4 linked regions of the Caenorhabditis elegans genome follow. The protein of the gene in region 4 purifies or fractionates together with the protein of the main gene of each other region. This does not show direct contact. Each region holds a gene or a part of one and is shown on either strand. Other genes may lie near its edges.

What was found.
Region 1: the proteins of gst-20 (region 4) and C32F10.8 fractionate together in Caenorhabditis elegans (co-fractionation; one large-scale study listed by BioGRID). This does not show direct contact.
Region 2: the proteins of gst-20 (region 4) and pud-1.2 fractionate together in Caenorhabditis elegans (co-fractionation; one large-scale study listed by BioGRID). This does not show direct contact.
Region 3: the proteins of gst-20 (region 4) and hphd-1 fractionate together in Caenorhabditis elegans (co-fractionation; one large-scale study listed by BioGRID). This does not show direct contact.

What each region holds. Positions count from the first base shown.
Region 1 is NC_003279.8:5,821,526-5,828,969, reverse strand, and holds C32F10.8 (alanine transaminase), read left to right. Parts: upstream 1-2,821; 5' UTR 2,822-2,890; intron 2,891-3,081; exon of another isoform or gene 3,082-3,250; intron 3,251-3,895; 5' UTR 3,896-3,896; coding exon 3,897-3,977; intron 3,978-4,137; coding exon 4,138-4,911; intron 4,912-5,051; coding exon 5,052-5,128; intron 5,129-5,178; coding exon 5,179-5,670; intron 5,671-5,741; coding exon 5,742-5,832; 3' UTR 5,833-5,988; downstream 5,989-7,444.
Region 2 is NC_003283.11:2,320,617-2,325,211, forward strand, and holds pud-1.2 (Up-regulated in Daf-2 domain-containing protein), read right to left. Parts: upstream 1,951-4,595; 5' UTR 1,924-1,950; coding exon 1,668-1,923; intron 1,622-1,667; coding exon 1,422-1,621; downstream 1-1,421. Other genes in the region: Y19D10B.6 (Peptidase_M13 domain-containing protein), read right to left, coding at 1-79, 380-436; pud-2.2 (Up-regulated in Daf-2 domain-containing protein), read left to right, coding at 2,398-2,650, 2,697-2,908; pud-3 (Up-regulated in Daf-2 domain-containing protein), read right to left, coding at 4,018-4,536.
Region 3 is NC_003280.10:12,993,009-12,999,529, forward strand, and holds hphd-1 (Hydroxyacid-oxoacid transhydrogenase, mitochondrial), read right to left. Parts: upstream 3,337-6,521; 5' UTR 3,240-3,336; intron 3,189-3,239; 5' UTR 3,185-3,188; coding exon 3,073-3,184; intron 2,998-3,072; coding exon 2,930-2,997; intron 2,881-2,929; coding exon 2,798-2,880; intron 2,744-2,797; coding exon 2,152-2,743; intron 2,101-2,151; coding exon 1,789-2,100; intron 1,739-1,788; coding exon 1,621-1,738; intron 1,572-1,620; coding exon 1,459-1,571; 3' UTR 1,354-1,458; downstream 1-1,353. Other genes in the region: Y38F1A.7 (uncharacterized protein), read right to left, coding at 4,036-4,296, 4,559-4,644, 4,694-4,796; Y38F1A.8 (Serpentine Receptor, class T), read right to left, coding at 5,092-5,282, 5,812-5,920, 6,000-6,106, 6,153-6,291, 6,341-6,446. UniProt on the Caenorhabditis elegans protein: Catalyzes the cofactor-independent reversible oxidation of gamma-hydroxybutyrate (GHB) to succinic semialdehyde (SSA) coupled to reduction of 2-ketoglutarate (2-KG) to D-2-hydroxyglutarate (D-2-HG).
Region 4 is NC_003280.10:13,606,262-13,612,096, forward strand, and holds gst-20 (glutathione transferase), read right to left. Parts: upstream 3,564-5,835; 5' UTR 3,465-3,563; coding exon 3,405-3,464; intron 2,551-3,404; coding exon 1,987-2,550; 3' UTR 1,893-1,986; downstream 1-1,892. Other genes in the region: gst-24 (glutathione transferase), read right to left, coding at 4,219-4,709, 4,895-5,033; gst-15 (glutathione transferase), read right to left, coding at 5,570-5,835.

The sequences.
Region 1 (7,444 bases), on a different chromosome or scaffold from region 4:
ATGCAAGAGAAATGGGAAGAAAAAGGAGAACATAGATAAGAAATGACACGTGGCATGGTTCTTCTGCCTTGATCTATTGGATTATTTTATAGGCGAAACATTCTCGGAAACAACAAAACTCGACCTGATTTAGCTTAACGAAACAAAATATTCTGGAAAATTTACAAAGTGCTGTGATAAAAATATATTCCAAAAATTAATTGCTTACTGATTTTTAAATATTAATATTTTGAGGATAAATTTTCTGGAATTTTGTTTTTAAAAAAAGTATCCTTTCAAATAAGATGTCAAAAACTAAATATTTGAAAAACACTATTAGGTGATTGACAACGTATCCAGAGAGATTATTTTATATTAAAAGGAGTATAAGCTCAGCATATGGACTCAGCGCTCTTTGAAACTGAAATAGACACATGACACGGATTTTCTTTTGATTGCAGAAATTTTTTAACTGTTCAATATAAAGTATAAAAGATAGTTCTAATGAGCATTTCGTGAAGGGGATCGATTGACAAGTTATGTTTTGTCTAGTTCGTTTCGCAATAAAATTTGCTTCAACCTAAATAATTTCGATGGATTATTTTTTGAATAAAAATATAAATGTCATTTTCCGAAGGAACGAACATGAATCTGAACGAGAAGAGCAAGAGAACGAAGAGAATATTGGCGCGCCGGCCGGGCACCAATACTGACACGTTTTTTGTGCGAAGCGGGGCGATATTTATGCTTATGCAAATATTTTTTGGGTCTTCTTGTGGTTTTTCTTGGTTTTTGAGGCTTTGCGCGCATTTTTTCGTCAATGCCGATTTGTAGTAGAAGTAAGGAAAGTTTTGAAAAGTTCTTAAAATTTTTAATAGGTTCATGAGCCCTGAAAACGCAATATGAAAAAAATTATATACGATTTTTACAGCGATTTGAGAAGATTATTTAACAAGAAATAATGAAAAAATTGAATAAATGATAAGCATTGCTCAGGAAATTGATTAATACATAAGAAAATGTTTGAAAAACAAAAAAACAATACCGTATGAAGTTTAAAGGCACATGACCGCTTGGCATTAGGTCTCACATCGATTAGAATAAATTTTTAAAGGCGCACGACTTTTATTGTTGGGTCTTACAGCGAAACTGTGTATTTTTTTAAAACTTTTTGACCCAGATGTTGTTTCTCATTTTTATGCTCCATTTTCCGTCTTTTTTTTTTGTTTTTCTTTTCATCTTTGGTAAAATTGTTATAAAATGGATTTTAAATAATTAATTATATTCAATGAAAAATTATATTCAATGAAAAAGCAGTAAAACATCGTGTCACATACGACGTAGATTAGGAAAAATAACGGGAAATGGCGGGATAAAGCTTCAAATGCCGATCCCCTTGGGATTAATCTGAAAATCTCTGTTCTTTTTCTTGTTCTTCTCTTCTCATGGTAAACTTTAATATAATTGAAAGGTTTTATGCTGCTAAATAACGGCAAAAGACTGAAAAATGAGAGCACGATGGAGACAATTTTAAAAGAGAGAAACGGCGGAGTTGTTTCGGGAAATTTGATGGAATATGTTGTTTGATCGAAAAAGAAAAGCGCTCGCTGCTCAAGCTGTCTGAATTTATGAGCACGCACCTTTTTTGGAATTCATTTTTATTGAATATAAACTGAAAAGTCGGTTAGGAAACATCTAGAAAATATCATCTGTAGAAAAGATGATTTTATATTGAAGAGCAAAAAAGTGACACAGAGGCGTTGCGAAAACAAAATATAAATAAATGTGCACTCGTGACTCGGTTTCCCTTTTCTGGGCAGAAAATTGGGTGGAAAGAACTTTGTGATATGAGAATTGGTCTTTAATTTATGATCAGTGGGGGTTTATTTTTCTGATGTTCCTCCGTAATATTACTCAAGGCTAATACTAAATGTTAGGAAACGTTTCAAGAAAATCTTTGTCTTGTAATCTACCACACCAACGAAGCTTTTCTCGTTTTCCTGTATATTTTTTGTTGACGCTGAAGATGGTTTTTAATTATTTGTTTTATTTCTAAAAGTTCGACATCATTTCTTCAACGAATTTTTTTCGAATTTCTACAATCGTTATCTAATTTGATCGAAATTTGACTTTTAATCTCCAACGGAATTGTGTTCAATGGACCGTTTCTTCAATGCCACGTGACTTTGAACTGTCAATCCTTATTTTCCTAGATCACAATAGACCTCCATCATCATTTTTCTCTCGAAAACCAAAAAAACCAGTTTCAAAAATCGAGCCATTGGCACGTAGTCCTCTGTCGGTTTATTTCGTTCCTCCCAATATTTCTCTCCCTCTCTTCAGTCTCTCTTGTTGTTTTTCAGTCCCTTCCTCCATCTCGGGGCCCCTTTCTTTCTCGTTCTTCAGCATTACATCGTAAAGAATAAACAAGGTGCCTCATCTGAAGAACAAGACCTGCCTTTTTTCGTTTTTTAAATTGATTGAAACTTCAAAGCGGCCATGATTCTTGGTTTCTTTTTATATTGCCAAAAAATAATGTTTATCCTTTTTTGTTTATAAAAAAGCTAAATATTGAGGTTTTTCCAAATTTCTGAATAACTTAATTTGTACTTCTTTTTACAAACATATTTAACTCGCATCTATTGATTATTTTTCTAAACATTTTAGCCATTTTTAAAATATTTTCAAGCTCTACTAATTGTTCTCTAAATTATTCTCTTTCACAAAAAAAGTTTTGTGTTTTTTGTGATCTTTGTTTCCAGCACATTTTTCTATTTTTAATCTTCTTTTTTTGCCCAATCAATGTGTGAAATTGTCGATAAGAGACAATAATTTGTTTCAGCAGCTTGTGCGAAAAACTTCATCGATCGCCTGTTCTCTCTTCCACTCTCAACACTTCGCTTTTTTATTGGTAAGTTCTAGAAAATTGAACTCGTGAAGTATTGGATGCTGAGAAAGTATTTTGGACTGTTTGGACAACATAAAATAGATGTTTAGATTTTCCTATTTAAAGTCGGGATTTTCCAAAAAAAAAACGTCTGCGAAAAAACTTCTACATAAGTTGGTTAGGCTCTCTGTAGAAAGTGGATAAGATGAAGGAATTAGAAAACTTAATTTCGTTAAATTGTTATATTTGTGATTATCTCGAATTTTGATTCTTTCAAACTTCTGTTTTAAATTTGCTCTACCGAAAATTATTACCAATTTTCGGATTTTTCGTTGTTTAACAATTCTTAATAACGCCTATTTTGCTAAACGCTGGAACACGTGTGAGACGGAAAATCAAGACAAGAACAATGAAAAAATGAGATAGAAAACAGATAGAACCGAGAGAAAAACAGAAAAGAATTAGATGCACTTGGCATTTGTTTGCCCCTTTTCCCCGCCTTCCGACTATGAAAAGCTTTTTTTCTACCAGTTAATCTCTTTGATATCAAGATTTCTACTTATTTATTGGAAACTAAATGTAATTTTTGTACGTAAATCCGGTGTCACATTTTTTTAAGTTTAAAATTTTGTGCTGCGGGATAGAGTTTGAAAAAAACGGAGAAAAGGGAAAATGTTATTATAATATATTACAATACGGCTTTTTTTTAAATGTTCACCTATATTTACTGTTTTCTGAAACTGTATTTTCTGCATTGTTTGCTCATTAAGTTCAAACTATCAACTTATTGCTTTTTGCGCGCACTCAGCTCGTCCTCAACCAACAAACACACGCGGCCTAAAGTTAGGTTCGTGCAAACGGTAGAACATTCTGAGTACTTACTGTCTCTCTCACTCGTGGACGTTATCAATCACACCCAGTTATCACTGTCTATCCTTCTATCCTCATATACATTTCTTTTAAATTAGTTGCAATTGAAATGATATCTTTTCAATTCACTTGTTATATCTCGATCTTTTAATTTTACAGCATGCGAACCGTACAAGCAATTTCCGGACTCGTCACAAGTCGCTTTTTCGGCACATCCACTAGAATCATGGCTAGCGGAAAGGTGAGCATTTATTAATTTGCAAAATGTGTCAGGAATCAGATGGACACTGAATAGCAAAATTTCAGAAATGTTAAAAGTTGTTACAATATTGGCAATTTTAATCGTTTTCGAAATAGTTGTGTATTTTTTGAACAAAGTATTTTTAAAAATTCAATTTCAGACTTTGAACACCTCCAACATCAATCCAAATGTTATCAAGATGGAGTATGCTGTTCGTGGACCAATCGTGATCCGTGCCGTGGAGCTTGAAAAAGAGCTTGCGACCGGTGCTCAGAAGCCATTCCCAAATGTCATCAAGGCTAATATTGGAGATGCTCATGCTATGGGTCAAAAGCCGATTACTTTCATTCGCCAGCTCCTCGCGTGTATTGTCAACCCAGAGATCATGAAAACGGACAAATCAATTCCATCTGATGTTATCGAACATGCAAATGCATTCCTTGGAAGTTGTGGAGGAAAATCCGCTGGAGCATACAGTCAGAGTACGGGAGTGGAAATTGTACGAAAACACGTGGCAGAGTATATTAAGAGACGTGATGGAGGAATTCCATGCAATTCAGAAGATGTCTGCTTGTCTGGAGGAGCTTCTGAATCAATCCGAAATGTTCTCAAACTTTTTATCAATCATAACAACGCAAAGAAAGTCGGAGTCATGATTCCAATTCCACAATATCCACTCTATTCTGCCACTATCGAAGAATTCGGACTTGGACAAGTTGGATACTATTTGAGTGAATCGTCTAATTGGTCCATGGATGAAGCTGAACTTGAAAGATCTTTCAATGATCACTGCAAAGAATACGATATTCGAGTTTTGTGTATCATCAATCCAGGAAATCCTACCGGACAAGCACTTTCTCGTGAAAATATTGAGACTATCATCAAGTTTGCACAAAAGAAGAACCTGTTCCTTATGGCTGATGAGGTTTATCAAGTAAGTTTTCGATAAAAATTTACACTCGATAATTTTCCACTATTTTCAATTAAAATTATTTTAAATCATAAACCATATTTTTTAATGAGGAAAATCACACTTTTCTATTAAAATAATGAGATTTAAAATATCATCTTCAGGACAACGTCTACGCTCAAGGATCGCAATTCCATTCATTCAAGAAGGTTCTTGTGGAGATGGGAGAGCCATACAATAAGTGAGCTTTTTTTCCTAAGCAGTTAAAAAACTCATAATATTAATTTGCAGAATGGAATTGGCTTCTTTCCATTCGGTATCCAAAGGATACATGGGAGAATGCGGAATGCGTGGAGGATATGTTGAATTCTTGAATCTCGACCCAGAAGTGTATGTCCTTTTCAAAAAAATGATCTCTGCCAAATTGTGCTCCACAGTACTCGGACAAGCCGTCATTGATGCCGTTGTGAATCCACCAAAGGAAGGAGATGCATCGTATGCTCTGTGGAAACAAGAAAAGGATGCAGTACTTGCTTCTCTTAAGGAACGTGCTACACTCGTCGAGAAGGCATACAGTAGCATTGATGGAATCAGCTGTAATCCAGTTCAAGGAGCCATGTACGCTTTCCCGCAAATCACGATTCCACAGAGAGCTGTTGAAAAAGCTCAGTCTTTGAACCAACAACCTGATTTCTTCTATGCTATGCAACTTCTTGAGACCACCGGAATCTGTATCGTGCCAGGAAGTGGATTTGGACAAAAAGACGGAACTTATCATTTCAGGTTTGTGATACTCTAATTCACATTTAATACAATAAATCTAGATTCATTGTTGGTAAATTCAATTTTTTCAGAACGACAATTCTTCCACAGCCAGAACTCTTCAAAGACATGCTCTCCCGGTTCACTGATTTCCACCAAAAATTCCTTGCCGAATACAAGTAGACTTTGAACAATGTCTAATATTCTTCTTTTCTCAATTTTCTCAGCTTTTTTTCTTCTATGTCACTTTTTGTTTCATAGCCAATATGATAGGGTCTAAATGCGTTTACTGTGTAGATTCGATTAATTTTAATTATTGCATTGATGAATTTTAACATTCTTTTTTTTGTAGAAGACTATACTGCCACTTTCACCTGACAAACAATAGGACCTCAGACAGTTTCTGGCACACTCTTATTGATGGATTCCCAAAATACAAGGTCTTTGTCCAGAACCGCCGTTCAACACAATGTGCATTCCACTCGATCCAATTGAGCAGATTCTAATTCACCTAAACGGAGGCCCAATCTGTGACAGTTTATGACCAAATATTCTGTTGCACAAACGTTACATAATCAGGTCAATCTGCCTGCACACACACAATGTTGCCGACTGACGTAACACAGAATGATAGTTTATTGGAGGAAAACAAATGGGCTCTCGAGATAACTGGAGTAGATTACGCAGTTTTGAAATATCGCAGTATTCTTCACTGTCTATCTAAAATCTTATAAAACCAAAAATTACCTCCAAATGGGTTTCTTGGAAAACTACATGGTTCGGAAAATTCGGAATTGTTTGGTATTTTCAATTTATTTTTGAAATTTTCATACACTATTTCCAATTCTTAGTTGGAAAAATTGTTGTTAACAAATTTAAATGTTTTTTTTTGTTGAAAAGTCTTAAAATTTCAAAAAAATATCAAACAATACATATATTTTGCGAAATTTTCGAATTACTTACTTAAGTTTAGAAACGGTTTTGAATACTGAATTCTAGAATATTTCCAGCAATGATTCTCGTCACTAAATGTTTTCTCATTAGCTAAATTAAAATTGACAGCTCGGCCGTTGATGATCCCTTCTGAAAAGAATCAAGATTAGATAACCCCAATCGTTGTCTATTTTCAGAATAAATCGATATTTATAGTTTGACCTTTCCCTTCTGTCAGAATGTATTCGACCATCTGTGCTAAATTGGGGATGGATTAAAGATCCTTCATTAACCTCTATATTACTGTACTATTATAGTATTCTCTGACACATAGCCTCTCTATAGATAGGGGTTACAGAAATGAAATGTTACCCCAAAAGAGGGTTATGAGCATAGAGTTCCAGCAAAAGAATTGACCTACAAAGAACCAAACTTGGCGGCTAATTAATGTTTTGAAAAATTATGACGTCACACTATTGCTTAGATTTCAGCCATGTACTGATTTAATCACAAACATAATCTAGATATAATCTATCAAATTTCTATTCTGACTGTGTGTGTCTTTCAGAAAACCTTTAAATTTCACTTTCCGGAAGAGATGTACAACTATTTTCACTTACAGCAATACTTTTTGGTCGATATATTCCAGCTACAATGACGAAATGTTTTTGGATTAGGGACTGTAGGTGTACTGTAGCTACAGTGCTGTAGCTGAATTTAAATATTATTTTACAGCGTATGAGAACATTATAGGCTACTTGTGTTACCGCTGGGTCCGTAGTTGTTTGGCTTCGAGAGAGGGAAATTTCCTGAAAATTAATGTTCAAGAGCTCTACTATTTCTTCGACACTTTTTCTCACTG
Region 2 (4,595 bases), on a different chromosome or scaffold from region 4:
AGTTAAGCTTAGTGATACTTCTGGTGTCATTTGTGCACACATAATCATAGAAGTCGTTGCAAGGATCCATACTAGCATTCTGAATACATTTTGTAGTTTGTAGTTTATTTAGCAAAGTCTTCCTGAATATCGACAAATTCTAGGTTAAAGTCTTGAAACTTGAAACAAAAAATGGGAAACCAAAAAATGTCGAAAATTTTGACGGTTTTTTAAAAAATTGAACAAACCGGGATCTCTATATTCTTGATTTTTTGAATAAGTCATTTTCAAAAAAAAAATCACTGTCAATTAGTGTTCGAACTTAAGTAGATTCAATTTGATAATACCGGAAAATTCTAAATTTTCAGTATTTTTTTTGTTTCTTTTTGTGATTACTTACCTCTTGTCTACTCCGCACTATAATAGAAATTAGGGTCAGTATCAACAAGAAGTTCATGCTTGGTTAGAATTAGGAGTAAAATGAGAAAAAGCATGTGTTCATTTGTACGCCACATGTCGGAGCAACCTTGTTCTTCAAGTTTATCATCTAATGTTAAAAATATCTCTAAATCGCGAAGATCCAGACCAATGCAAAAAAGAGACCGATTTTATCTTTTCAAAACTCATTAAAAAATATCAAACTTGGCAGTTTTGCTTAAAAATTGAAAACATCTGAAAAAGTCAAATGTGGAATATTATGAGTCTGTTTTCTAAATGAAGTTCAAAATCGATTTTTCGTAAGATTAAAAAAAATCAATTTGTCTCATGATTTTTCCAATTAGTACTGAATTTACCAGATTATTTTTTTGTTCAAAAAATAAAACCTGCACTTTTTGGAAATGTTTCAAACTTTAAACTACTTGAACTTGATAATGTAATTTTTTTACAAAGTTCTCAGGAATGATTTTCAGTCAACTATTTTATTCATTGGCTCGATTGAATCAAGTTTGAGACTGATCTGAATACCTGACCTGATTTTGTATTTTTATAAAAATATTTTTCAGCCAAATTAATAGACAATTTTCACTGACAACATTCGTTCAGTAATTTGAAAATATTTAGCCATTCGAAAATATGCACCTGGGTCGGGATAGCTCAGTCGGTTGTGGTGGCCGTTCGCAACCTGGGAGTCACGAGTGCAAGTCCTAGTTCCCATTTGCGCTGTCGTATATTTGTTATATTTGTAAAAAGAAATTGGACATAGTGGAAAGATAGAAAAGTGTATAAAAGGTTGAAACGGTAGATTTCCTAATACAGAAAAAGCTAAAATTCTACAATTACTGTTGATGACAATTATCTAGCTTCAATCAAAAATTAGCTTTGCTTGGAAATAGTTTTGAGAATGAATTTTATTTCAAAAAAAAAAGCTTAAGAAAAGTACTCCTACGAAGAATATCGCTGCTCAAACAGAAACTCAAAGTAACTACAAATAAAACATGAAATCAATATTTAGTGAAAGTGGTAGTCGATTCCCCACTTGGAGAGATGAAGTGAATTTCGGTTGGGAAAACACGGATCGTGGTAGTTTTTCCGTCATCTTCAGCTGTTAGCATATGCTGCTTCCATGATCTCGAGTCACTGATGAATTTCGCATGCTCTATGTAGGATTTCTTTCCGATTTGGTGACCTTTGTTATCCACTTCTGAAATTTCAAGTTCTTTATTCTCAAAAGATAAAACTCCACAAACCAGTTCTCTCCTGAACCATCGTACCATCCACTAGCCAATTGTCAACTCCAGTTGTCAAGAATCCAGTGTTATAGGCGACACTTTTGAAGATTTCCTTGACTTCATCAGGCTGGAACATCACAACATCAGACTTATCCGCATCCCATCCAGTGTATTTATGTGTCACTTGAAACTTGAAGTGACTTCCAGTCTGATTATCAATTGAAACCTTTGCAGTGCGTCTCGTGAGTTGTGGTGGAGTTGGATCAGTCGACATGATCAGTTTTCAGTCAAGAAACGATCTGAATTATCAGTTGATACGGTAACCATTTTAAACTAAACGAGGAGGTGGAGTTATTGATAAGGAATGCAAGTGATCTTCTCTCTTTGACTATTTTTGTGGTTTGATTGTTTGTGAAATTGATAAAGAACATGAAATTGAACAGTTTGCCTGTTAGTTTCATGTAGCATGAACTATGATCATGAAAATTGATCATAAAGTTGTGCTTTCTTTTGGTACACCTTTGGTTTCTTGACGTCAAAACCGCAGACACGTTGCTTGAAAATGACAAAGAACACAAAGTAATGACAGATAAGCATAGACCAAAGGTTTTATATCAGTATTGAAACATTATCTATTGACAAGTAATGTGCTTAACTCCACCCACTTGAACTGCTTTTTAAAGTCAGTTGGAAATACACGAAATCAATCGAAACTCAAGTGAGTCGATTCTCTTCAACGTTTCAAGAAATGGCAAGCGACGAACCATCAGGTGTGACAGAACAATGGGCCAAAGTGGATATTGAGAACAAAAGTGACCATGTGTTCAAGTTCCAAGTGCTTCATCAGTATACCGGCAATGCATTGGAAGCTTCAAAATGGGTGAAATTGGAGCCAAACCAAAGTGCCCAAATTCTGGAGAAAGTTCACTACAACACTGGACCATTTACAACTGGTACTGATAATTGGAAGGTTCATGGAATCAAACAGATTGAGACAAACTGTAAGTTAACTTATATTTTGATAGTTTTGAAGGAATTAATTTACAGTAGACGATAAGAATGGAGTGGTTGATGGAAAGGTTCGTATTCTCGGTGAAGCTTGGCGTAGTGGACATCCAGATGGGGCTGATTGGAAAAAACACACTTTGAGAGTAGAAGACCATGCCCAAACTACAGTAATCAAGGTTCTCGAGAAAGAAGTTCAATTTGTATCCAAGAGTGGAACATCGACTACTGACTTCTATAGACATGATGTTTAAATTTTCAGTCAATAATTCTTATCAATAGATTTTCTTTAAAAGTTTCAATAAATTTATTGTAATTTATCTAATATAATTTTTCATGCGTACCAATCAAACTTGAATTCTAAACCCTGAGCTCAAAAACAGTCCACTAGAAGTGATTTACACTTTCTGAAGTTTTCTGAGCGGGCCCTATAAAATAAAATACATTTTTGAAGAACATCATATCGAATCAGGAATTCTATTCCTTACCAGAGTGCCTACCGGTGCCTACACCTAATACGTAGTAGAGACATTAACCGTGTGAGACGTTTTACATTATGTACGCAAGTAAGTAATACAAATATGATTTTTAAAAAACGTATTGCGTTTGGAAATATATCGGCCTATTTGTGCTCAGAGACAACTTAATGTATTGAGGCAGATTGTTATGTATTGAGGCAGAACGAGGAGGCGAAGACGAGTAGTTTATTATTACATTAAACTAAGGAATAAATAAGCTAGTTCATAGAGTTCACGTTGTACGATCTTTTTAGCCACGTCGTGGGTCAATACACGTTGATACCCAACAATTTTGGTGTTACTGTAGGTGACTTCTTTGGTAAATAAAACTTCTCTGTTAAATCCTGTTACTCACTTTTTTGATCTTCACATACCCCGGTCTAATTGAACTCGAGTCACTTTATTTTCACTTCGTTTCTTCTAATCCCTTCCCCCCGCCCATTTCTCATACTCGAGTTGAAATCTTTCAGGGTTTGTCTCGGTTTATAAGTTTATTTTAAAACTAAAAAAGGTTTCTGATTCAATATAACCTTTGAATAGACATCACACTCCGTTCTGACTGAATACCAACTAATTCTGCCATGTATTCCATATCAGCAAACCAAAAGAGGCGGAACCGGCATATTGCTGACAAACAATTTTATGATCTTTCTCCTTCTCATTCTTCTTATCAGTACTTTGTGGTTTGGTTCAATGTGTTGCGATTTGAAAATACAAAGAATTCGTTATCAGTGTTTATAACTCTATCACCAATAAAATATGAAGTTGGCAACTTTAGGTTAAAGTCCACAAGAAATTACAATAATCCATTACAAATCTATTCACCATTATAACTCGATAATTATTCACTGCTTCTGTGGGTTTTGGGAGAATGGGAGGATGTTTTCTCCAAGAGTGTTGAAAGTGGTAACCGATCGTCCACTTGGCGAAATGAACTGAACCTCAGTCTGAAATACCTTGATCACAGTTTCCTGTCCATCATCATCAGCTCTTAAAGTGTGCTTCTTCCATTTAGCAAAAGCTCCATGCCCCGTACTGTATGGAAGTCCGTCGACAAAGAACTTGCCGAAGATATTTCTAGCAATAGTTCCTTCCGTCTCGACCTGGATCAATTTAGTGCCATGAACCTTCCAGTTATCAACTCCAGTTGTGAAGAATCCGGTATTATAATATATCTTCTCGAAAACAGTGATTCTATCATCTGGCTTGAAGTCGATATATCCAGAATCATTGGTTTGTTCCCCGGTGTATTCATGAAGAACTTGAATTTTAAAGTGTGATCCTGTACGGTTCTCAACGACAATCTTTGCCCAACGACGGGTGAGTTGAGGAGCCTGGGCGCATGGAGCAGATGGAGCAGTCATCTGAAATTTTAACATAAATAAAACCAATATAAATGGATAATTTTACAAAAAAAATGAAA
Region 3 (6,521 bases), 610 kb from region 4:
TACACCCAATTCTGATGACCATTGAAATTACTTGTATTGTACAAAAATTCTCGCTGTTTCGATGATTACTTTTTTCTATTTGTGAAATAATAAAGATTCCCCACAACCACCAAACATATATTTCACTATTTACCCGGAATCACCATATGACGTTGTTTGACCCTTCGAGGTTGTGACGTCACACAGACCCCCACTTCTAGAGTTGCGTCAAACTGCAAGCTCGTGAAGCGAGCACTTATTCAAATCTTGACCATAAGCGCAACATACATTATTAGCATCTGTTGATGACGTTGAGCTTGCGCTAGTAGAAGATCAGAGATATGTGAAGCAGGTGGACGGGCCCCTTTTTTTATAAAACAGTGCAAAAAAATTTGTTTCTTGTGACGAAATTGAATTTTTTCCAGCAAATCGGCAATTTCTGTAATAATAGACAAAAAGCAAAGTTATCTAAAATCTCCAAATTGTGCTTGAAAATCGGAAAACCGCTTAGTTTTCATCTGGAACTTGTCTAGAACTGGAGAAACACGTGGCGTCAGTGTGTCCCATGTCGGTTTGATCTACGTAATTGCGGGAATTTAGACGTAGACTTCTGAACTGGATTTGCATGGCTAAGAGCGTGATGACGTCACATTTTTCTGGGTTAAAAATTCCCGCATTTTTGTAGATCAAAACGTGATGGGACAGCCTGGAGAAAGTTTTTCTTACAAGCCAGAACACCTACAATTAAAAATTGCCAATCTGTTATAGATTTTCAAATTTTTCAAAAGTTGTAAAAAATTTATTGGAAAAAAACCTTCTTATCAATTTTTCAAATATTTTAAAAGCCATAAAAATATTTTTTTAAATTTTTAGCAAAGTCTCAAAATCTAAGTTTTGTTTTCAAAAATATAGAAATTTTAAAATTATTTGTTAAGTTTAATGTTAGAAAAGTTCGTGATGACATTAATGATAATGAGATATGAAAATTGACCATTTTGCCAACGAATTCCTAAAAAAATTCAACCTTAAAATATGCCAAATTTCCAAAAGAACCCAGTGTATCGCCGTACCTGGTCTCCAAAATCCTGCTATTCTCGACAATTCTCTCAAAACATACATAGATCCTTGATAACAGCCAAGGCCAAAAAGCTTTCAGCAACAAAATTCAAATATGCCGGCACGCCGCGCTTCAAAGGACATTCCTACGATTGTTTGCGTGTCGCGTAGTAATGTTTCTTCGTTCTTCCCCGCCTCTAGTCATCCCTAATTAGTACAGTAAGCCGGCAATATTTAAACGGTTCCTTGAAGAAAAACGGGGGGGGGGGGTGAAGGATTCTAATTATTCTGGTGACACCTGGCGCCATTGTTTTGTTTCTGTTTCTGTTTCTTTATTTATTCTAAATACATTTACATTGAACATAAGAAACAATAACGTATATGGTACAACCAATAATAAAATAAGTACAATAAGAAAAATGACTAATAAACCGTAAGGGACTTCTCGTACAGAGTGCTGATAATTTCACGATCCGCAGACTTTGGAGAGATTGCAATATTTGGGACGGAGTGGCTGGCTGCTTCAGTAAGCATTTCTGAAAATAGTATAATATAAGGCAGTTCAACTAGAGAGAGGTGTTCTACCAATATCAGAAAATTCGAATCCCATTCCTTTCAGTCCATTTGGAACTCCAAAGTCTCGCATATAACCTCTCAGCCGATCACAAAGAGTTCGGGAAATGTACTCATTGCTGGCATTGTTCTGGAAATATCTAGTTAGTTCAGAACCATCTTGGTGGCCAATTTACATACCGGAATATCTGCACCAAGAGTCTGTGCAGAAATCAAATGTCTATCTGGGCACGCGGCAGTTGTAAACTCGAAATCAGCCACTGCGGTTGTCATTACAGAGAGTCCATGTGGAATCAAGTTCTTCTCCTTTGGATAATCATCAGCCACACAGCTTTTCGCCTGGGAGCTGATTGGGTAGGAGAGTCCGTGGCAAAGATGAACCCCAGCGTTTCCGAATCCAATCCCAGCAAATGAACTAGCCTTGAGCATTTCTGTACGAGCTTCTTCGTCGGTTGGATCGAAGATAGAACGGCGGAAGTATTTTCCAATGATCTGAAATTATATAAATTCATTTAGAGCTTCATGGTTGAAATTCCAACTCACTCTCAAAGCCTCTTTACTCCAGACATCACTGATCGGGTTGGAACCTTGATAAAGTGGACGAACTCCTGGATTCTCAGGGCGTGGAGATCTTTGATCGAATGGCAAAGCTGTGAAGCTTTCCAACGCGTGACAGAGAACATCGAAACCAGAATAGATTGCCACGTTTCGAGGCATACTCATCACATTCAACGGATCCACAACTGCCAAGTACGGCTTGATGCAACGAAGTCTGATTCCAGTCTTGCACTTGTGCTCTGGAAGATCCATGATTGCAGCCGCGGTAGTCTCGGATCCAGTTCCAGCAGTTGTTGGCACAGCGATCAATGGGAGCATTGGGTTCTTTGGTTGCATGGATTTTCCGAATGGTGGTCCAACAAAGTCGAGGAAGTCCGCTTCTGGATTAGAAGCATATAGAGCTGCAGCCTTCGTCGTGTCGATCACAGATCCTCCACCAACAGCGATGAAACTATCGAATTGCTTCGATTTGGCAAATGCGATTGCTTTCTGCATACTGTTGACGGTTGGCTCAATGAGCACATCATCAAACACCTCATACTCGATATTCACCATTTTTAAGGCTTGCTCGGCGTTTCTAAAATTTGTCTGTTGAATAATTTTAGAGCTTTAAAGCTTTCCTATAACTCACTTAAAAGCGATCGTATTCTGCACATTCTTATCAGTGATAAGCAACGTTTTCTTTGCTCCGAGATTACGGACGTCGTATCCAATCTGATAAAGTTCACAGTTGAGTTAGTGATGTGTGATATTGCTAGCAAACCTCCAACGTGACTCCTTTTCCGAAACGAAGAGTTGAGCACACCATCTCGAACGCGTAATCTGTTGACTCTGAAAATATTGGTTTTTTAGAAAGTTTTCAGGCAGGCACGCCTACCTGCGTGCCTGCTCGGGTAAAAAACTAACTGTTATTTCCATGAAGCTTTGCAAGTTTGAATGGATTTGTAGCTGGGGCATGGTGAGGACAGCATGAGCCGCCCATCTTGCTCAGTATTCCACGTGCCAGACTTGCACTCATTTTGCTGAAAAAAAGAAAAGTATAAAACAATTGCCACGTGCCAACAAAAACTCACAAATAAAATGTCGTAAACGCAATGAAATCGAGAAATAAATTGATTCGTAAGGTTTTTATTTAAAGAATTTAATTTTTAAATTCAATAAATAAATCGCGCCAACAATAATTATTATCACGTTTATGTACAAACACGTGGAGAAATAGAGAAGAAAACAAGTGGAATGGAGGAGAGAGGAGAGACGCAGACGGGCAAACAGCAGTGATCAGTTTTCGAACATTAATGTGAGGGGAAGATGGTTTGATCTGAATAGACTCGTGGGCACAAAAGTTGAAATTTTGGCTTGCAAGCTAATTTCAGCTTTTGAAATCTTGTTTTTTTTTTCAGAAACCAGCAAGATGTCGGCTGCTAGAGGCGCTCCAAAAATTAAGATTTACAGGTTTCTAAATTAGTATTTGAACCCGGAAAGTGTCGGCTGCAAGACTATTCTTTCAGTTGTCTTGGACGGGCCGACGTCTCACGGGTTGCTGAAGCTATGAACCACATGAGCTCAGTTGCTGGTAGAAGCTTGTAGTTGTAATCTTGTACGAGATTCGAACTCGGAGATTAGTAAGAGTTGGAAAATGACAAATTTTAGATCATGAAGAAAAACAGAAAATCGCTAAATTTGTCAAAACGTCTCTGAAATTGGCAGTCTCCCCCGCCCTAGATTTTTCAGGATTCCAACTTTTCTCATGGTTATGGCTGTTTTCAGCCTCCAAAGTCATTTATTACACATCCATAGTTTACAACAGAAAAACACTAGAATAAACAAAAAATAAAATAAAAACTAGACATCGAGTTCACTTCTGAGCTTTCACGGATTCGCATTGTAGAAGACATTCTTGTTCGGCTGCTCCGCTTTTCCAGGTGGCGCCATTGCAATGTAGTGAACCATCGGAGCAAGTTGCTCCGGCTCCATCAAAATCTCAACTGGTTTTGGAGCAGAATCACCTGCCTTTTTCGGATCCTTTGGCAGAGCAAATGCAGATGAACCATTGGGGTTTTTGTCGAATTTCTCCCGCAGCTCGTTGAGGGCATACTCGGTTTTTGCCTTGTAGTGGAATCGAATGAAGAGCTGGAAAAGAGAGAATTAGATAGATTTTTGGTAAAATTTTTTTGTGTGCATGAGAAACGCTAGCCTATGTGCCTACAGTACGTGCCTGCAATTGTTTAAAAAAGGAACAAGAACTTTTGGATATGAAAAACGTAGAAAAACGATAAATTGTAGTTCAAAATATCTCAAAAACAAAAATTCCTGCTCAGGCGTCGAAGGCGTAGGCAAGTAGGCAGGCATTTTCATATTCCACAACACAATAATCTTGTAGCCAGAAACTCACATGAACAGCTAGAAAAATGACAATCATGACCAGGATAATAGCCATAAAAACGTCAACTGTCTCCTGAACTTGACCAGTCACAACACCTACAATTTTCAGAACTGTTAGAGTATGAGATATTGTGGACAAGCTCACTCAATCCATCACTGTACGGGCCATTTTGAGGATCTGAAAATCCAAGGTTTAAGATGTTGAAGTCCAGGAGTTTTGGCTCCAAGTCGAGCAGTAGTGGCTCCATAATTTGTAACTTTTTTCAAAACTCACAATAGCTATTTCTGACGAAAGTGAGGTTAGACATCCTCCTCGAATTGTGAAAACTTTGGAAATACATTTTATTTCCATTTATTTGGATATATCCACGTCAGATTATTTTTGTTGTTCCAACTCATTCTCTTCTCAAAATATAAAATATTTTTTAATACAAATTACACGTTTTTATTCACTGATTGTAAAATTGTAAACTATATGTACAAACACTGGATTGGGGAACCCGTTGAAATCGAGGTTTAAAATCTACAGAAAAAATAAAAAGTTTAGACGAAATCCTTCCGAGGTAATGCTGGAGCCATTTTCGTCACTGACTTGTCAAGCTCGTTGAGATTGCGCTGCACACTTTTGATTCCGATTGTGATGCGAGTTTTGGGGAATTCAAAGTAGGCGATTGAATAGAACAAGGAATTACAGCCAACTTCAATTAGTTCAGCAAGCGAGAAGAGGTTGTAGGCTGAAATTTTTATGGTTTGAAATTTGGAATTTTTCAGGGAGGCTTAAAAGCTTGAAAGCTTGGAAGGTTCTACATATAGCTTAGAGTTTTATAATTTTACAAGATTTTACTCTAAGGTAGGCACGTGTCCGTGCCTGCCTACCATTTTTTTTCTGATCAAAACTTTTATTATTAGAGGCCAGGGAGACATGGATTAGAAATTGGTTTCAAACGCAGAGTAAGTTGTAATACATAATTTTACAGAGTTTTTCAAAATCTTTTCATATAGGCATACACAAATGTTGCCTGCCTACTTTCCATGCGGCCTATGCCTGTCTAGTGCCCACACTGCTAAAGTATGAGTGAATAAATCAATTAGGATAATATCTAGAACTTTTCAAAGCTTAGAAGCAATTAAAAATCACTAAGTAGGCATGTAGGTAGGCAGGCTTGTGCTAGATACCTGCGCCTGAAAACGTGCCTGCCTTTCATGAAAGTTCAAAATTTGATTTTCAAATCACTTAGACCAAACAATACCAAAAAACCTTACCATATGGGGAGCAATGTGCTGTAAAATATGGGTACGTTATAGGCGTTGATATGGCACAGAAGTACCCAACCAGGAAGATGACGCATTTTATTCGCCATGTGGTTTCCATCTGAAAATGTTGGATTGAAGTTTAACTGGAGACTTAAATTGGAAAAAAATAGAAAATTTGCTCAAAAAAGGTTTCTTACCGTATCATGAACATCCCTGCAACCTCCAAAATGATGCAAAATGATATTGAACAACATGTTGAAGTTGAAGCAAATGATCCAAATTGCAAAGCCAAGAGCGTGAAGGACTAAGATTTTAATTCAATATATAAGTTGTTACCGTAAAGAACTTACTAAATCCCCCATTAATATCCACCACCGATACCAAAACCAATCCTAACGGCTCAGCCCAAAGTGTTAGCATATAGACGTAGTTGACTCTGGCGTACCATACAGATTTTGGAGCGGAAATGAGGAATAAGCGGCGGTAGAGCTGAAATTACAAAGATTTCAAATATCTAGAAGCGTTTAAAGGTACATACCATCAAGAAAAATAACCTGGGCGGTACATGGATAAACATTATCATCATCCAAATGTATTTCTGGGGCTGCCATATTCCGATGGAGTAGGACACAGGAGGTAGCGTTCTGAAATTTTGATTTTTTGGGTTTTTACGGAGAACTAAAGGTTTTAGATTTGCTGTTGGTACAGATACTGTAGAG
Region 4 (5,835 bases):
GAAAAAGAAGAAGAAAATACAAGCATGAAGGTGCCGAACTTTACACAACTTTATCTCGACCAACAAGTTTTTTGATAAAAAACAATTAACTACAAAGTTGTACTTTATATTAAGATAAACAACTTTGTAGTTGATCACTTTATATATCATAAAATCATAAAAAAATTTTCCACGGAGATATCAGCATCCGAAGTGAGTACGTTTTTTGAGCTTAGGTGTTCTACTAAACCTCAGGTTTTCGTCTGCAATCGTGTGCAGAACATTCAAACTAGAAAAAACTACAAACATTGCATTTTTCTGATCAAATTTTGAAAAGTTTTCAAAAAAAATTTCGGAAAATTTTATTAGATAGAGGTAGTCAAAGATCATTTGAAGGTAGTCAAAGAGCATTTATACATCAGATCTCATCTCCATTTTTTCCGGAATTTCAGGAAATGAGAAAGTGCACGACCTTCTTAGACATCAAAAAGTAACATGTTATTGAAAATTCTGATTTTTCAGCGAAAAAAACTGAAAATTCTGAAAAATTAGATAAAGGTAGTCAATGAGCAAAGGTAGTCAATGAGCAAAAGGTAGTCAAAGAGCCGAAAGGTAGTCAAAGATCTAAGGTAGTCAATGAGCAAAAGGTAGTCAAAGAGCCGAAAGGTAGTCAAAGATCTAAGGTAGTCAAAGAGCAAAAGGTAGTCAAAGAGCCGAAAGGTAGTCAAAGAGCAAAAGGTAGTCAAAGAGCCGAAAGGTAGTCAAAGAGCAAAAGGTAGTCAAAGAGAAGGTAGTCAAAGAGTGTTTGCCAAAAAAACGTGCGAATGTCGTTGTTTTTCTAGTTTGTTCTGAAAACAATATTAAGTAAAAAATTTTGGTACAGTAGAACTACCATGTTCAAAAAACGAATTCATTTTAGGATATCGCACGGTATTTTTTAAATGAAATCTCTAAGAAACATCATATGTTGAAACTGCATAAATGTAAAAATATACCATAACAGTAGTAAATTAGAAAATGTCAGCAAGTTAGTAAATCTGAGTTCAAAGTAAATGAACTATTTCTTAGTAAATGACTGAGAGTAAAAAATGAGTAAATTAGACCTTGAAGTAAATGAACTCTTTTTCAGTAAACGAGAGAAAGTGAAATTGCTAGTAAAATAGACGTCGAAGTAAATGAGCCACTTACGTAAACGAGTGATTTGGTAAATGAGACTATTAGTTAATGAGGGTTTGCCTACTTTTTTTTGGTACAAACCCACCTCACTAATTTTGAGATTTAAACAACATTTGTTGCCTATTTTGCAACAATTATTGGTAAAATTTCTATGAAATTGAAGTTATTGTACCTTTTTGTTGCAATTACAATCAAATTTTCTGAATTTTCACATAAGAAACTAGTTTTTCAGCAAAAAATTGTAAGCTCAAAGTCAGAAAAATGTTCTGAAAATTAATATTGCACTCCCTATTAGTCTTGCACTCCCTATTAGTATTGCAAGCGGTAAGGCCATCGAAAAATAGTATTGCAGCCATATTAATAGAAGAAATACGGTAAATATTTCCGGAACATCGGCAAATTGCCGGAATTGAAAATTTCCGGCAAATCGGCAAATTGCCGGAATTGAATATTTCCGGCAAATAGGAAAATTTCCGAAATTGATTATTTTCAGCAAACCGGCACAGTGCGGGAATTGAAGTTTCCGGTGAATTGGCAAATTGTCGGAATATAATATTTCCGGTTTGCCGTTTGCCGGATACCAATTTGCCGATTTGCCGTAAATTTAAATTCCGGTAATTTGCCGATTTGCCGGAAAAAATCATATTGAGCATATTTTTTCAGAAAGACGGCGTGCGACAAAAAATTAACAAGAAATGTGGTTTTTGATGCTTTTCGAACAGTTTAAAATATGTTTGTCTTTCCGATTTATGTCTGATGGGAAGGAAAAGTACACACAAATTTATTTGCTCCATTGGCCAAAGCGAAAAAATCAGAATATTCAGAAAATGATTAGAATCCCTTATCCGGGCTCGATTCAAGATGCTTGCGAATCTCCGGGATTCCATCGACTTTCTGGTACCAGGCCTTGATGTCTGGGTACTCGTTCAAGTATTCCGGCCACCACGCGATTAGGGTTCTCATATTATCACAAATCATCAAATCAGCATAGGTAAGTCCGCCGGAGAACAAGAATCCGGAGATGCTAAGCTTCAGGAACTTCCCGATAATCGTCAGGAACTTGTCTCTAGCTGGAATCAGCGTCTTCTTCTTCTCCTCTTCGGTGTCATTCTGAAGAACGCCGATTTTCGCGTAATAGTATGGCTTGATCTCCGCGTAGAAATCCTTGAACTGATCGATGAGGGCGTCGGCGAGCGCTGCCTCCTCGTCGGTTTTTCCGGCATAGCCGAATTTTTTGGCGAGGTACCTGGCGATCGCCATGGATTGTGGGATTTGGAGTCCCGAACTGAGCTCGAGCACGGGCATTTGGCCAAAGGGCATTTTGGGTTTTTGAGCTGGCCAGTCTGCATGCTCAATGCGGATATCCTCGTATTTGGTGCCGGATAGGGCGAAGAGCTGGAAATTTTGCGATTTTTGCGCCAATGTGTTAATTACGGTTTGATCTACAAAAAATACGGGGGAATTTTTCGCCCGAAAAAATGTGACGTCAGCACGTTCTTAACCATGCAAAATCAGTTGAGAACTCTGCGTCTCAACTTCCCGCATTTTTTGTAGATCTACGTAGATCAAGACAAAATGAGACACTCTGACACCACGTGGATTGCGAAAAGGCGTGCACCTGTAAAGAGTACTGTAACTGGAAACAGGCGGTAGTATTTTCATCGATTTTTCACATTGTTTTGCGAAAAAACACTAACATTTTAACAAATCGACTCTTTGAAGGCGCACACCTTTTTTCATTTATCAAAAATTGCCGTGTCGAGACCGAGTACTGTTGCAAACGCGGCCCAAGTGGTGTCATAGTGTCCCATTTCGGTTTGATCTACGCAGATCTACGAGAATCGCGGGAATTTGGACGCATTTTTAATGGTTAAGAACGTGCTAACGTCACATTTTTTTGGGCAAAAAAAATTTATTCCCACATTTATTGTAGATCAAACCGTAATAGGACAGCCTGACACCACGTGGTGGCCTGGAAGCAAAGTGGCCTAGAAAAAGCTAAAATTCGGCCAGCAGTATTCTATGTCATGGTTTTAGCCGAAAAACTTCCTAGGTTGCGGATTTTCAACAAAAAAAAACGTACTCACTTTGGACAAGTGGCCGAGTTTCCTTGATTTCTAGGCCACGTTGAAAATGTCGAAAAATCGTAAAAATAACATTTTCGTGCTGATCGTGCCGTGATTTGCTACGTTACCGAGTTTTAGAAAAAACTCGGCCACCAATTCAATTTTCTAGGCCACCACACTAACCTGTCTAGAAACATCTCCCAATCCTCGTCCGTTAAAATAATAGAACTTGTACTCGGCCATCGTACAAAAGAGCAAGCACAATCACAGACAGTCAACACACAACTGATAGTCGTCTGCCAGTGTCCCCCTGTCCGCCCTTTTATACTTCCCATGCCACGTGTCTCCGTCTCTTTTCTCTTTTCCCGACGGGGGGAAACAACGTGGTTTATGCGATGGCGGCGGGGAGGTCACTGCCATCTTGATATTGATCTCAGAAGATAATTCGATTTATTTGTAATTGGATATGGCGGCGACGATTCATGGTCTTTTGTAGGAAAAATGATGACAAACATGACTTTTTTGTTCGAAAATATGGGATTTCTAGAATGATCTCTGTCGAAAAGTTCAAAAGTTTCATAGGCTTGCAGGCAGGCATAGGCAGTCTTGTAGGTATGCAGATAAACATAGGTTACCTTGCAGGCATTTAGTCAGGCTTGTATGGAAGGCATGCAGCCAGGCATAGGTTTATTTGACGGCAGGATGTTTCTTTTGATCGCAAACTCCCCAGGTGTGACTTACGCCTTCTTTGTGCCTACACCCATGCCTACTGTCTATGTTAGACCCTTTACGTAGGCCACAGACTGCCCGCTTGCCTTCAAGGCAAACTACACCTGCCTCGTGCCTAGATAACTTGCCTTCTAACAGACATACGTTTGATCTACTGCCTACTGTCAAAACCATCTTTTTTAGGTGGTAGGCAGCCTGAAAGCGTGCCTACCTACCTTAGAATCACTCATTATGATATAATAATCTTTATTAACATACACATAATATATCAAACAACAGAATCTGGTCTCGACGAGTTGTGCTCCTTGATCTCCGGTATCTCATTAACCTTCTCACGGAGCGCTGCAAGCTTCTGCTCCTCTCCGTGCTTATCAAACACTCCCAGCATCTCCATAGTTGTCAAAATATCAGCTATCACCAGATCAGCCCAAGTTACACCATCTCCGACTAGGAATCCTGACTTGCTCTTCTCAAGAATTCCATTAAGAATTTTGAAGAATGTATCCCGGGCCGGCGCGAAGACCTCCTTTTGGATTCGCTCGATTTCCTCCGCATTTCCGGATCTTTGAGCCATGATGAGTTGGCGTAGTGGGGTGACGAAGTCTTTGAATTGATCTACGATTGCATCCACCCACGCTTCTTCCTCTGATGTTTTTCCAGCGTAGCCGAATTTTTTGGCAAGGTAGCGGAGAATTGCAGCGGATTGGGGGATTTCGAAGCCATCGACTGAGAGGAATGGGAGCTGACCAAATGGGGTTTCTGGAAGATTCCTGGGTTGGGATTCAGACTTAGGCTTAGGTTTAGGCTTTCGCTTAGGCTTAGGTATAGTCATAGGCCGAGGCATAGGCTTAGGCTTAGAGTGGACCACCGTATCTGATTTTTAAAAAATTCTCAAAATCCGTGACAGTTATACAAATACCACTAAAAATGTTTCAAAAACTCACTTGGCTTCAACGCTCCCCACTCTGGAGTTCCATTCTCAATACGAACATCCTCAAACTCGACGTGAGCCAGCTTGAAGAGCTGCCGAGCCGGCTCAGCCCATCCACGAAGGTTGAAATAGTAGAGCTTGTATTGTGGCATTGTTTGTTGATGGGAGATGATTGAGTAGTACTTTATATACACAAAGTCGTTTCGAAAATCTCCGAAATTGAGGGGAGGGAGAGTGAGAGAAATAGAGAAATAGAAGAGTGGTTTGTGTTTTTGCGAAGAAACACTGGTCACAAAACAAAAAGTCAGAAAATTGGAAAAATTTTTGAAAAATTCAGAAAATGCATCAAAAGCTGTTTTTTTTTCAAAAATTCAAAAGTACTGAAAAATCATATGAAGTGCTTCATTTTTCTTTTATAAAACTGTTTAGCATGATAAAATATACCAAAAAATATTAAATAAAATTTGCTAACTTGTACGGAAGATTATTTTAAAAAGTTCAGAAAATACATCAAAAGCTGTTTTTTTCAAAAATTCAAAAGTACTGAAAAATCATATGGAGCCCTGTTGCACTTCTCGCACTATTATTTCAAAAAAAAGTATTTCGGTAAAAAAATATCCGCATAAAATACTACAATATGTTTATTATCTTTTATCACAGTTTTTAAAAATTCAACGCGATTCAAAATTTAGACTTCTGTATCCATTCTCGTCGCAATATGATCCTCCAAATCTGGGGTTCCATAGATTTTCTCCTTATACTTTTTCAAATTCTGATGTCCTTCATCATCATCATCGATGGCTCGAAGCTTCTCCAGACTGTGCAAATTATCAGCTATAACTAGATCAGCCCATGTGAGCCCATCACCAACTAAATAACCTGACTTGCTCTTTTTGAGAATTCGATTGAGAAGAATAAAGTAGACATCTCGAGCTGGATTGAAAATCTCGTAGC